3 linked regions of the Oryzias latipes genome follow. The protein of the gene in region 1 interacts with the protein of each later gene in a pairwise test. Links are inferred from orthologs where the notes say so. Each region holds a gene or a part of one and is shown in the gene's direction. Other genes may lie near its edges.

The links. The genes of interacting proteins can lie anywhere in the genome.
Region 2: the proteins of pogz (region 1) and nfya interact in binary tests that used the Homo sapiens proteins (3 or more experiments, as listed by UniProt). The two-hybrid records come from large-scale screens. The link is inferred for Oryzias latipes from reciprocal best matches to the Homo sapiens genes POGZ and NFYA.
Region 3: the proteins of pogz (region 1) and banp interact in binary tests that used the Homo sapiens proteins (3 or more experiments, as listed by UniProt). The two-hybrid records come from large-scale screens. The link is inferred for Oryzias latipes from reciprocal best matches to the Homo sapiens genes POGZ and BANP.

The regions. Positions count from the first base shown.
Region 1 is NC_019869.2:4,546,652-4,550,215, forward strand, and holds part of pogz (pogo transposable element with ZNF domain), read left to right. Parts: intron 1-1,448; coding exon 1,449-1,540; intron 1,541-2,241; coding exon 2,242-2,373; intron 2,374-2,470; coding exon 2,471-2,530; intron 2,531-2,623; coding exon 2,624-2,739; intron 2,740-2,971; coding exon 2,972-3,017; intron 3,018-3,421; coding exon 3,422-3,564. UniProt on the Homo sapiens protein: Plays a role in mitotic cell cycle progression and is involved in kinetochore assembly and mitotic sister chromatid cohesion.
Region 2 is NC_019865.2:10,737,872-10,742,213, forward strand, and holds the start of nfya (nuclear transcription factor Y subunit alpha), read left to right. Parts: upstream 1-1,508; 5' UTR 1,509-1,608; coding exon 1,609-1,625; intron 1,626-2,156; coding exon 2,157-2,262; intron 2,263-4,342. Other genes in the region: ngrn (neugrin), read right to left, coding at 1-140. UniProt on the Homo sapiens protein: Component of the sequence-specific heterotrimeric transcription factor (NF-Y) which specifically recognizes a 5'-CCAAT-3' box motif found in the promoters of its target genes.
Region 3 is NC_019864.2:22,010,543-22,014,717, reverse strand, and holds the start of banp (protein BANP), read left to right. Parts: upstream 1-1,341; 5' UTR 1,342-1,822; intron 1,823-4,175. UniProt on the Homo sapiens protein: Controls V(D)J recombination during T-cell development by repressing T-cell receptor (TCR) beta enhancer function. Binds to scaffold/matrix attachment region beta (S/MARbeta), an ATC-rich DNA sequence located upstream of the TCR beta enhancer.

The DNA.
Region 1 (3,564 bases):
TTTTCCAAACTCCATCAAGAACTTAATGATCATTTGGATGGCTATTTTTGTTTTTTTGCAGTATTGACTAGTTACACTGTATAGTGTAACGAGTATGCGAGTACTCGGATACTTGCGATCTGAATATTCGCAACGTCCAAGATCGCTGATTCGCGATTTGTATAAATATGACTAGTTACACTGTATAGTGTAACGAGTATGCGAGTACTCGGATACTTGCGATCTGAATATTCGCAACGTCCAAGATCGCTGATTCGCGATTTGTATAAATATAGTGTAGTAAAAAATAAACATTGAAAACGATGTATTTATTGCTCTGAATGCAGAATAATGTTGGATTTTAAGTGTATAAACTCAAAAAAGGCAGAAAGTAAGCAAATCTTCGAAATGAAATGTCGATGAAGTTCCCCATTTTCAAAGTAAAACCATCGAAGGTTTTCTTGTAGTTGAAAGAAATGACACTGAAGTTCCATTTACTGACATAAAAAAACACAAATTTGCTTTAGCCCCTAGTTTCTTACATTCTTTCAAATACAGTAACTCTTCAACGCAACGTAATTCTAGCGGATTCTGAATTATAGAAAAGCCGCCTCGCTCTGAGATGCAGCACAACAAAAAAGGGAAGTAAAGAAGAAAAGCAGGACCCAGTTTTTTTTAATCTGATCTCCTGTTCTAAATAAAGGTATGAATGATGGTGATTTAATACAGAAAACTTTTAATTTTATACATCCAGTAAAAAGACATACATAATGCAACAAATACATTATGTTAAAAAGTAAGAGTCGTAGTTCCATCAGTGAATCAAATCGCCACCTAAGCAAAAATGCACAGTCCTAGTAGTGATGTTTGAAAAGCCATTAATCTTTCTTTGTTAGTAGAACAGTTCATGTGAACTCTCCTAAAAACACAAGTGGCCCTGCTAAAGAATAATAAGAAATTGCAACGGCAGACTTATATATTATTCTTTTCTTTCTGAAAATGTCCAAAGCTTTTATTTTTCTTACTTTTGTCTTACTTCCACTGAAGCAGGTTCCTGTACCGAAACCATGTTTCATCTGCTGACATCAAAACATTTTGAAGAAATTGTAGAAATTTCCACCTCCAATTTCCACACCATTTTCTTATCCATTAAAATAAACAAAAAATGTTTGTTTTCTTGGGAGTCTTCCGGTTATCAGACAACGTTTTGCAAAAGAAGGAGCTATGCAACAAAGCAAAAATATTTCATAAAGAAATGCATCATTCTGACATTTTAAAAAAGACGAGACGCTGACACGTTGCAAAGACGTTTTGAGCGTTTAGTTCTCCAGAGAACCACACTGAAAGCAACCGTTCATAGATGTTTTGTGAGAAAATAACTTCATTCTCGGATACAGTCATTGGCTGAGCTTTGAACGAAAGCCAAAAAAAAAAAAACAGTATTTGTTGTTTCTTCTTCTGATCTCCAGGTTGTAAATGTTTCCTCGCCTCCTCCCATTCAGGAAGCTCCTAAGAAGAACGCGGTCGAGGGTTTGAGACTGTCGGGACTGAAAACGGACAGGTACAGGTTCCACGCCTCTGCATGCTGATCCTCCTGTTCTGTTGTGGTTGGAAATATTCAACAGTCTGAATTTTTGTTAACCTCTTTTTTTCATAGTAAAATCACATCAGAAAATCTGTTTTTTGCTTATTAAAAAAGAGAAATTATAGTTTTGGTTTTAAGTTGTTTTGGCTACAAACATGGATTTAAATTAGGCCCTTTTTCCAGAAATAATGCAACATATTATCAGCATATAATCGTTTTTTTGTTGTTTATTAGACTCTTTTATCTGCTGTGCGACTCGTTTCTTTATTCTGCCACAACTTCTCGCATTTCTCAGGTCTGTTTTACTGCTTGATTTGTTTCAATGTTGGATATTTAACATTCAGCCGCTCTGTTTACATACTTGAAGTCCACTTTCTTATGCAAACACTCATGTTTAATGTTTTGTGTGGAGGCTGTTGAAACTATAAACATCTTTAGTTTATGTTCGTGAAAGTGTGGGACCCTGAATGCACCGTATGATTTACCCTTTATCTTGGCTTTTACTTGAATCCGTCAGCTCTGATTTTGTGTTTGAGAATAAAGTGCTGCTTTTTTTTTAAGAAGAGGTATCTTTAATCTTTTTTTTTTCTTAAATTTATAATTACCCGGACACATTTATACTTTTATAGAAGACGTGTCTTATTCTAGCCTCTTAAACGTCTGCTTCTGCTTTGCAGGGCGTCTCAGTCCTGCATCGAGTGTCTGGCCTCCGTTCCAGATTTCCAACGTCACTTTCCATCTGTGGTCCGCTGCTCCCTCTGCAGATTTGTCACCTGTTGCTCCGCCTCCTACGCCAACCACATGATCAAGTATGACAGCTCCTCAGAGATCTTCCATTTCTAAATGTATTTCTCTAAAGGCTGTTTAAAAATGAATCTCTAAAACTGTTGAATTTCTTTGGCGCAGTAATCACACCACCAGCAGGAGAGCCCGGCAGTTTCCAGTCATCTTCCAGCCCGACCCAAGGTTCCCACAGAATCTCACTCTGAAGGCAAAGAGCTCCTTCTCATCTGCAGCTCATTAAATCTCATCATGGGCTTTTTATTTTTCTATTTTCAGGTTGTCTGAGGAAGTAATATGCGTCGCATGCTCGCTTTCCAGCTTCAGAGGCGATGTCATAGCAAACCACCTGAACGAGAATCCGTCACATGGATTTGCAAGGATATTAAGCAAAGGTAGAGTTTTTGTGCACTTTATCCTCAGTCCAACATTTACTGTGGAAATTTTTTACTTTTATTTTATTTTAGTCCAGGACAAACCACTGGATTGAACTAAAAAAATAAACTAATTCTGTCCGTTTGTTGTTGTTTTTTTCCTGTAGAAATTTATTGTTAGTCTGTTTGTTTTCCTAAAAAAACAAAATAATATTCATAGAATTAAGCAAAGTATTTTGATAAATGTGTTTAGTTTCAGATCAAAGTGAAGAAGAAGCTAAGAAGTGCAGTTCTGACAGGTAAAGACAACATTCACTCATCAAAATCTGCAGAAAAATAAAGTAGTTGGTGTTCAAAATAATATTTTTTTTATTCTAAATGTACCGACAGGTTTTTACTGCTAGAAATTAGTTTGATAATTTACATATTTGTTCTTATTAGTTAATGTTTTAGTGTTAAGATTGTATCAGATTAAAAAAAAAGACAATTTATTGATTTTTTTTTTTTTTTTTAATCTGCATTTAGGCACGCTGAGTTTCCATATTTTACTAACGATAGATTTCTAAGTGAATCAGTGAAAGAAAATGCAGCAAGTTGTCTTCCAAAAATAAAACAAGTTGTGTAATCTCGCCTACCTTCCTGTTGTGGTGTTATTTCCTGTATTTTGATGGTGTGCAACTCTTAAAATACTCTTCCTCCTCAGGCCCACGGTGACCCTCAGCGGGGAGGGAAAGTTTGTACCGATCCACCTGGTCCCCTCCAAAGAACCCTCCAAACAGCTGACCATCAAGCCTCTCAACTCCAACTCGAAACCCTCTTTCACTCCGGCCATGACCGTCAAGATCA
Region 2 (4,342 bases), on another chromosome or scaffold:
TGCTCGGGATTGTGTCCCTTCCATGCCCTGCCGATCCCTCTGCTTGCAAGTCTACAGCTAAAATAATTAGCTGAAGGAGTCACTGATTGGGAACCAGACCTGGAAAAATGGCAGAGGACCCGAAGAGTCCTGCTGGCCATGCTCCTTGTTACTTGTATTCCACGCGGAGGAAACAAAAGTAGCCCGTCCGCCCTCGGATCCTGCCTGGTGATGTTTAGTTGGCCTATTTAGATTTGTTTTTGTTCAGTTGTTATTGCAAGTTACATTTATTTTTTACACCAGTCCCAAATGTAGCGATAATCTACACTTGACATTTGTTTACTCTCTGCGTCTATTCCCGGAAGTGTTTCCGGAAGTCTGAAGTTTAAAGTGTGTTTTTTTTTAACGGTGCTGCCCCCTTGTGGAGAGTCTATGGCTACAAAACGCTTATGAAACCATTTACATTTATTAAGTATACATTTTTTTTCTAAAAATAAATGTAAAAAATGAAAAGTAGAAAAATATTTTAAAAACATGCAAAGAATTTCACAAAAACACAATAGGGACTGGTAAAGAAAGTGCTGTACAACCTGCTGCACACAATACATTTTTTGTGATTCATTTTTTTCTCTTTTTCTTAAGGATTTATAGACAGTCATAGTGGGACCATGCCTGAATGTTAAGCACTGATGTGTTATTTATTTGTTTTCTTGTCCACAGAGGTAGTATTTCTGCATCTTGAAATCTATTTCTCACAATTTGTCACAGATTGTTTTAAAATATCATTTATGTGCTTTAAATGTAATGTGAAATCAGGGCACCAGACTAATCCGTCAACTTTAAAATTGAAACTGTACTCTAGTTTGTCTTGTTTCTGCCTGTTGGGGAGGACAACAAGACAGTCTATTGTGCAACTTCTGTGACCCTGTGCACTCTGCCCTGCTGAAGTCCAGCTGGAGAACCAAATACAGATGCAGTATGGCAGCACACTTTTCATAATGCAGTGGAAAATCACCACCAAACCTGAAGAGTTTTTGTTTTTTTCCCTAAGCCTTGAAAAAGTAGACTTTGGGTTTTCTTTATGAGCTCAGCATGGGCTTCCCATGTCAGGTTACCTCTGATGTTGCCTATAGGTATATACTTAGGACAACCATAGCTTGGTGTTCTGTTTCTTTGAATTTAAAAATGAAAAAAGAAGGTAAAAAAAGAATGTCACTACAGCATCTAGGCTTACTTTGAAACAATTAGATTCTTAACTGTGTCAGAGAGTTGAATGACTCCATCTGCTGGGGAGCAGAGGTAATGCAGCCTGCGCAGTCCCCGCAGTCATGTGCCACGCAGCTGTGCACCTCCTCCCAACCGCCGTTGTTTCATTTGCGCCATTTTGTCCGCTCACTTTGTTGATTGGGTTTTAGCGAGCTGTACTAGAGCCAATCAGAGGGAAACCGGACAGCGAAGCTACGGTAAGGGAGCCACGATTGAAGGCATTGGTAGTTGTCAGCACGGATTGGTTTGTCATGGACCAACCAAATTACTAACCCTGCTAACTGCAAAAAAATCAAAATTGCTGTTCGAGTTTGACCGCTTTGTCCTGGTTCTGTTAAGTTCTCAACGGCCTCGAAATGATCTATGTTAACTGCAGCGGGGTAACATAATCTCTGTTGGTCTGACGTTAGCTTACGCTAAAATAAGAACTCCCAAACAAAGAAAGGGCATATAATGTTCCCCTAGTTCCACCCGTTTGTCTCATCGACCTAGCAAATATTTAACAACTGGGGAAACGCCAAAGCCGTCAAAACCGATCGATTGTCCCCATACTAAAAATTGAGCATCCATTTTGTTCTTTCTAGAATTTACCATGGTGTTTACCTAGCTTTGGCGCTAAGCTAAGCTAGGTGGTCGTCTTCCAAACACAGCTAACGGGTGATTTTTATAGCATGTTTTAATGTATCTTAATACACATTGATCAAATAAAAAATTCAATATACGACTCAATAAAAGCCAGTGTTACGAAATAAAATTATAAAAAATGGCGATGATTACGTTGTCAAATAAGGCACTACATTTTTAGTAGAAAGAAAAATGCTTGATTAAATTAGATTAAAAAAACTGATAACATCCCTTTTAAAGGACATTGTATATTTAGGCTAAACTGTTTGTGTTTTTTCTTTTATTAGAGGACTGCGTCAAAAAGCAGCAGCGATGGAGCAGTACACGTCTGCCACCACTACGACAGGGGAGCAGATTGTTGTGCAGACCGCCAACGGACAGATCCAACAGCAGGTGAGCGCGCGCGTGCGCCAGCCGAGAAATCAAATCAAACTTTATTTATAACGCATTTTCCTATAAAAACACAACACAAAGCGCTTTACATTAAAACAAAATTAATCATACAAAAATGAAAAGAACCCCCTCCCCAAACCTTAACACACACACACACCCCACCCCTTTCAAACCTTCCACCTCCTGGCTAATGGGGATGGGCAATTGGAAATAGGCTGAGCACGAAAGCCAAATATTGGTTGAGTAAAACCTAATATTTGGGACCTCCCTCTCACAGTGAATAGCTGCATAGCCAGCCAAATACAGAATCACAGGCAGGAACCAGCCTCAACACCACAGCTAAGTGGTGATGCATGTCTGCAGCCCAGAGGGGGAGATCCCAACTGAGAAAGGACTTCAGGACTTTGTAAACACAGCAAACTTTTTACAAGGTGAACCAGATTAGTTGACTTGACCTGTTTTGTTCCTTTCGTGACAGTCAAAAAAATATACAATTAACCAGGTTCATTTTTTCAGTATTACACAAACATTTATTGATAAAACAGATTTGTACATTTAAATAGTGTTGCAGAGTGATTAACTAAAAAGTAAATCTTACATTTTTGTTATTCTATGTCTTTCATCAAATTTCATATGCTTGCACTCAGATTTGTCATATTTTATGTAATTTTTTGGTTTAAAGTGCGACTCTTCTGTAGTATTCAATTCTGGTTTCTGAGCAGCCCACTACACACTATTAATTGGGTGTGTAACAATAATCCACTTAATGGATTAATCTATTTAAATTCCAATGATCTAATTGCATCAATCTGTCTGAGGCAAGTTGTTAATCAAATCAGTCTATACCCTTATAAAATCTTTTCAATATGAAATAAATCAATTATATCGATCATGGAAAATACTAATTGGATTGAGACATGCCATGTTTATTTTTTTTATAACAACCAAGTGCCATCACATCAAACAACACACGTGATGCAGCCAAAAATGGTCAATCCATCACTACAGTCCACTGTGTGGAAACACTTTGAACTTTGCCAAGACATGGGACCATACAGTGTGCTGGAATATTCTAAAAATGTTCCCTTTGGATTATTTTGATGTGGCAAGACAGCGGTGGGCTTAACTTTATGAAACAAAAATGTGAATGGATTTCCCATTAATTCTTGTTTACTTGTTTGTATACATATGTAATTTACACTTGATTTTCTGGCAATAAAGACAAAGAATCTTGAAAACCTCACCTGCACTGTTCAGTACTTAGGTAGAGTCACACTGGTTGAATTTTTAGATAAAGATGTCCTGACCCATTTTAGGTCAGTGAATCGGATCGTTCAAAATAAACCAACATCGACTATGAATCATATAAGCAAGCACAAATTATGATATGAATCGACCCCTAATATTAATACAATTCTGACATCTGCTTCCTGACCACTTTCACTGTTTTCTTGCCTCGAGTAAAGTTAGTCTTTAGTCAGATTGTTTAAAAGTCTCTGAATCAGAATGTGGGCTTTTATTTTTTTAAGACCTTAGTTTAAAAGCAGCTTAGCCAACTTAAAAAATAAATGTATATCTTCGGAATATATTTTGAACAACAGTGACAACCAAATGCTTTAGTGATAGTGTCAATTGTATAAGATAAGAGAAAGATAAATGTATCTATATGCTCACAGTGTATTCATCTTTTGACGTCTGAAGTTCTTGGTAGGTGGGCTGGGTATCACCCAAAATCTTTAGAATCGATTCTATTTACAATTTTTTTTATTTTTTTTGATCCACCCAATTCAATTCAATATTGAATTGACACAGATTCCACCTTTATACATATTTGTATGAATATACAACAATAATCTATATATGTTTTATAGATATTCATATTAATCTGATGCAGTTCATACACTGTAAAATTGTGCTGATCATTGTGTTCTGCCTCTCCTGTGGTGCGTTTCAGTTTGGCCACTAGGTGGAGTTGTGCTATAGCATTACTCTTTATCCCAGTAGGTTACTTTAACCCTAGACCATTTTCACCACAAAAAGTTACACCACTACATTTGCTGGGTAATTTATACCCGATCTT
Region 3 (4,175 bases), on another chromosome or scaffold:
TTAATAAACCTTTTTTTTGTTTCGTTCCGTGGTAGTACAGGAAACAATTAACCGACCGTACAAAGGACTTTTCTGACGACGAAAGACAAATGCAAAGTTTTAAACATAACGCATGAACCAAAGGTCAATGAACTCGTTCAGTAGACATAGACAAGGGACCAAAGACATAGACAGTGGACACAAAAACATATTTTTGGCACAAATGGAACCTCATATGATAGAAGAGTTTCAGCTCAAATCAAAGGAAAGTGGCACTGAGGAAAAGACAGGAAAAGGGCTGGAGGTTGCAGAAATGAAGATGCTGAGGTTTTTCTTGGGAGTGAACAGGATGGATTAGATAAGGAATGAGTACATCTGAGGGACAGCACATGTTAAAGGTTTTAGAGATCAAGTCGAGAGACCTAACTGAGATGGTTTGGACCATAGTGTCCAGAAGAGAGGCAGTGAGTAAGTATATTGATGGAAGGATGATGAGTCTAGAGCTGCCAGGCAAGAGGTGGATGCAGTGAACGAAAACGTGACAGTTTTTGGTGTTAGAGTAGAGGATGCAGAAGACAGGGTTAGAGGGAGGAAGGTGATTTGCTGTGGCGACCCCTGAAGGGAAAAGTCCAAAAGGAAAGAAAATGATTAGAACATTATGCCATATGATCACGTGTCTTTGCAAAATTCAAAGGGGGGTTTCAATACATTGAAGTGAAGAAGCAATAGCTTGATGTCTTGATCCTGTTTTGGTGCCTTCCCGTGTGTTGCCTGCTGTGATGGCATTTGGTCGTTTTTATGTTATAGTAAAATAAACCTTCTGTGCCTCAATCCAAATGGTATTTCCCAATATCAATATAATCAATTTATTTCATTTTGAAAAAAGTTTATGATGGTATATTGATTCAGTTACCAAATTGCCTCAGACAGATTGATCTGGTTGGATTGTAGAAAAATAAATGGATTCATCAATTCAACTATTTACAAATACGGCCTCCTTCACTTGATTACAATTTGGCTAATGCAGGACTGAAGGGCTTCATACAACACCTAAATAAATTAATAAATAAAATACATAAACAAAACATGGATAAAGAACAAACGTGTATTAACACACGTTGAATCACAAACATGGCAACAAGAGTGTCTCTCTAACAATTAAATTAAAAAAATGTTTTTAAATGACTGGTTTTGCAGATCTTTAATATATAAAGATCTGCATATATATATATATAATATTTGTATAATTTCTTTTTAAATAATTTGTGTGTTGTCTTAAATGTTGATGGTGTGTCATTTTCTCTATTTTCCCTCACTGTTCAAATCAGAACACAGAGTATCTGAAACTATCTCGAAATTGTTCAGCTGATAACAGTTTTATACTTTGTTCTTTAAATAGTTTCCCCCTGCAGTTGTTACACGAGATATTGCTGGTAGCGTTGATTTTTCTGCTCAAATCGTTGGCTTAAAAAATAACGAAAGACATCCATGTGCAGGATCCTTTGTTTATTTTTTAGTTTGTGAGGAAGTAATCCTAAAAACAAACTTAAATTTGATAGTTCAGTAAACATCCGCTCATATAAAGGAGCATTTCTTTAATCATAAGATTTTAAGGCGGTCGGTAGTTTTGAGCAAAGTGTCAAAGTGTTTTTCTAAAAGAAAACTTTACACCCTGACGCTGATCTCATATCTAATGAAGAGTCGGCACGTTCCCCCTACAGGCTGTCTCGGCGGTCGCAGCCAGTCGGCGGAGGAGCACAGGAAGGCACGAGCTCATCTCTCGCGAGGAACGACGCCGTTATCGGAATCTCTAGAAACAACACGAGAATTCGTCATTCACACGGTAATATAAGCCCACTCTTACACCGTGCAATTGACGTGTGTGAGCAATGGTCTACGAATCCAAGTCAAAATCATCTTTCATTTTATTTTAATTTTTTACGTTTTAGCAAATACTTCGTTGCGTTTCAGCGGCCTGTAGGCCTAACTAGCATGCTAACGACTAAGCTAGCTGAAATAGCGCTCTGTTTGCGTTGCTTAGCTCTCAAATCGGATTGTGCTAACTTTAGCCATTGCCAGTACATCACTGCTCTGTGCTAATCGAAACTTGTTATAATGCACAGCTGTGATCTCATGCAGTTGTAATAAACTGTACTTTTCCTGAAAAACAATAATCAACATCTATCAGGACCTATGTTCCTTCAATTGTTTAGTTCATTAATTTAAATCTCCTCCCATTTACTGATACTGATAGCATACAGTTAAATAACTGCATCGTTACTAGCAAGGCAAAGATGAAATATATTTAGTGGAATGAAAGGTAGAAGGCTTGAACAAAGTCTGGCTTTATCATTATTAAGATAAACCACCAGTTTACAAATAGTAAGGCATTTCTGGTCGTTTTTTTTAAACTATCACATCTTAATTGCTTTGAAACAAATTCATACATTGACATGTGTATGAATGTGAAAGTATTTCTCAAAGTGCATCAACTAATGTCATAAAATTGCCAGTCTGATCTACTTTTGCCCCAATCCATATACAAAAAAAGTACATTTGATTAAATTATACATCCAAATTAGTATTTGCTAAAAGTGACGTAAACAAATCTATTTGTATTTTGATTTAATTAAAAAATTAAATGGGGAGACTTGAGTTTAACTGTTATGCCATTTAGCCACAGCTTGTAAAGAAAAATACAGCAATGCCAAGCACACATGCTTTGTTTAGAAGGTGGTCATTAGCCTTAGTGATAATTGTTTTACATAAACATAAAATTGTGTTTTAATTAAATTTTTACTTTAAAATAACCATTTATTGGAAAAACAAACAATCTTCCAATACTGTCATTTACATTGGACTTTAATTCATATACACTGTTTTAAAATTAGTTGAATCAGGAAAATAAAATACTTTTAACTACTCTCGCCTTTGCAGGCTTTTAATTATGACACAGATTTATGGTATTGGGGAAACATTTTAGATATAAAGGACTTGGGAAAACAAAACAAAACAAGAATTATAAGTATTTTGACCATAAATAATGCGTAAATAGGTTAAAAGAAACGAGTACCACAATAAAAATGTTCCTAAACGTGAAAACACTTCAGCAAATATTAACTATTGTATTTATTTATGAAATTTGGGGAAGTTTAAATGTCCACTCATTTTTTGGACTTATCATTTAAAAACAGTAATTTTTATCAAGAACCGTTTCCAAAACTATGTTTCATGACTATATGACACATGAAAAGCAGATTTTGAATTTTAGCTGCAGTTTAGTCACATGAAGCAGAAAGTGTGCCATTCTATGTTTAACTTGCTAGTGATGAACATGTAATAAATCCTCAAACTTAAATGCTTTAAAAATGTCATAGAACTCATTATAATTGCATACTCAACACATGCATTGACTTCAAAGCATTTATGTACAACTGTTGTCAAACACAATTTCATAACTGGTATTAAGCTAATAGGATTTGCTTGAAAACCAGTTAAATTTGATTTGTTTCCTCAATTATGGAGTTTGCAATATGTGTGGAAAAAGGCCCAATATTAAATGCATTGGCAATAATCTCTGCAAGTATTTGATTTGGCCCAATAAGGTAATCAAGCTTTTTTCAGGCTGTGTAGTTATTAGTCAAAAGCGCTAAGGCTCAAAATCATACAATAAAGACCTTGTCCAGTTTGGTGTGGATGCACAAAGCCACTCTTGATGCTCTGGAATGTACAGGTTTCAATCGGTGATACTTTTTCTTAAAGTTCAGTCCTACAGGAAACAAAAACAGTGGCTTACAAGGGTCGCTTCCTGTTATCCTTTCCAACAAGCCTGTTTGAAATGGTATGGTTGCCAGGAGCACACATTCCCTCTATGAAAGGAATTTTTGCAAGTTACAATTGTGGAAAGCTCTGAAGATTTCTTTAACAAAAGACAAATAATGCCCCACTTTTTGAAAAATTAAACACAAGAATTTATCGTTGTGTAAATGAGACCAGAGTCCACTTCAATGAATGTAGTCTTAAAGTTCTGTTTATTTTTTAAAGTCAAATGCAAAGATCTGTTTGTTAACTGCATTTTGTTTTAAACAGCAAAAACGGAGTCTTAAGGAAGTGAAAAAGACCCTTCTTTCCTGAAAAATGTGTCTTATTTTCTGTCTTTCCATCCATTTTCTTAACCTACTCTATCTTTTTTGGGG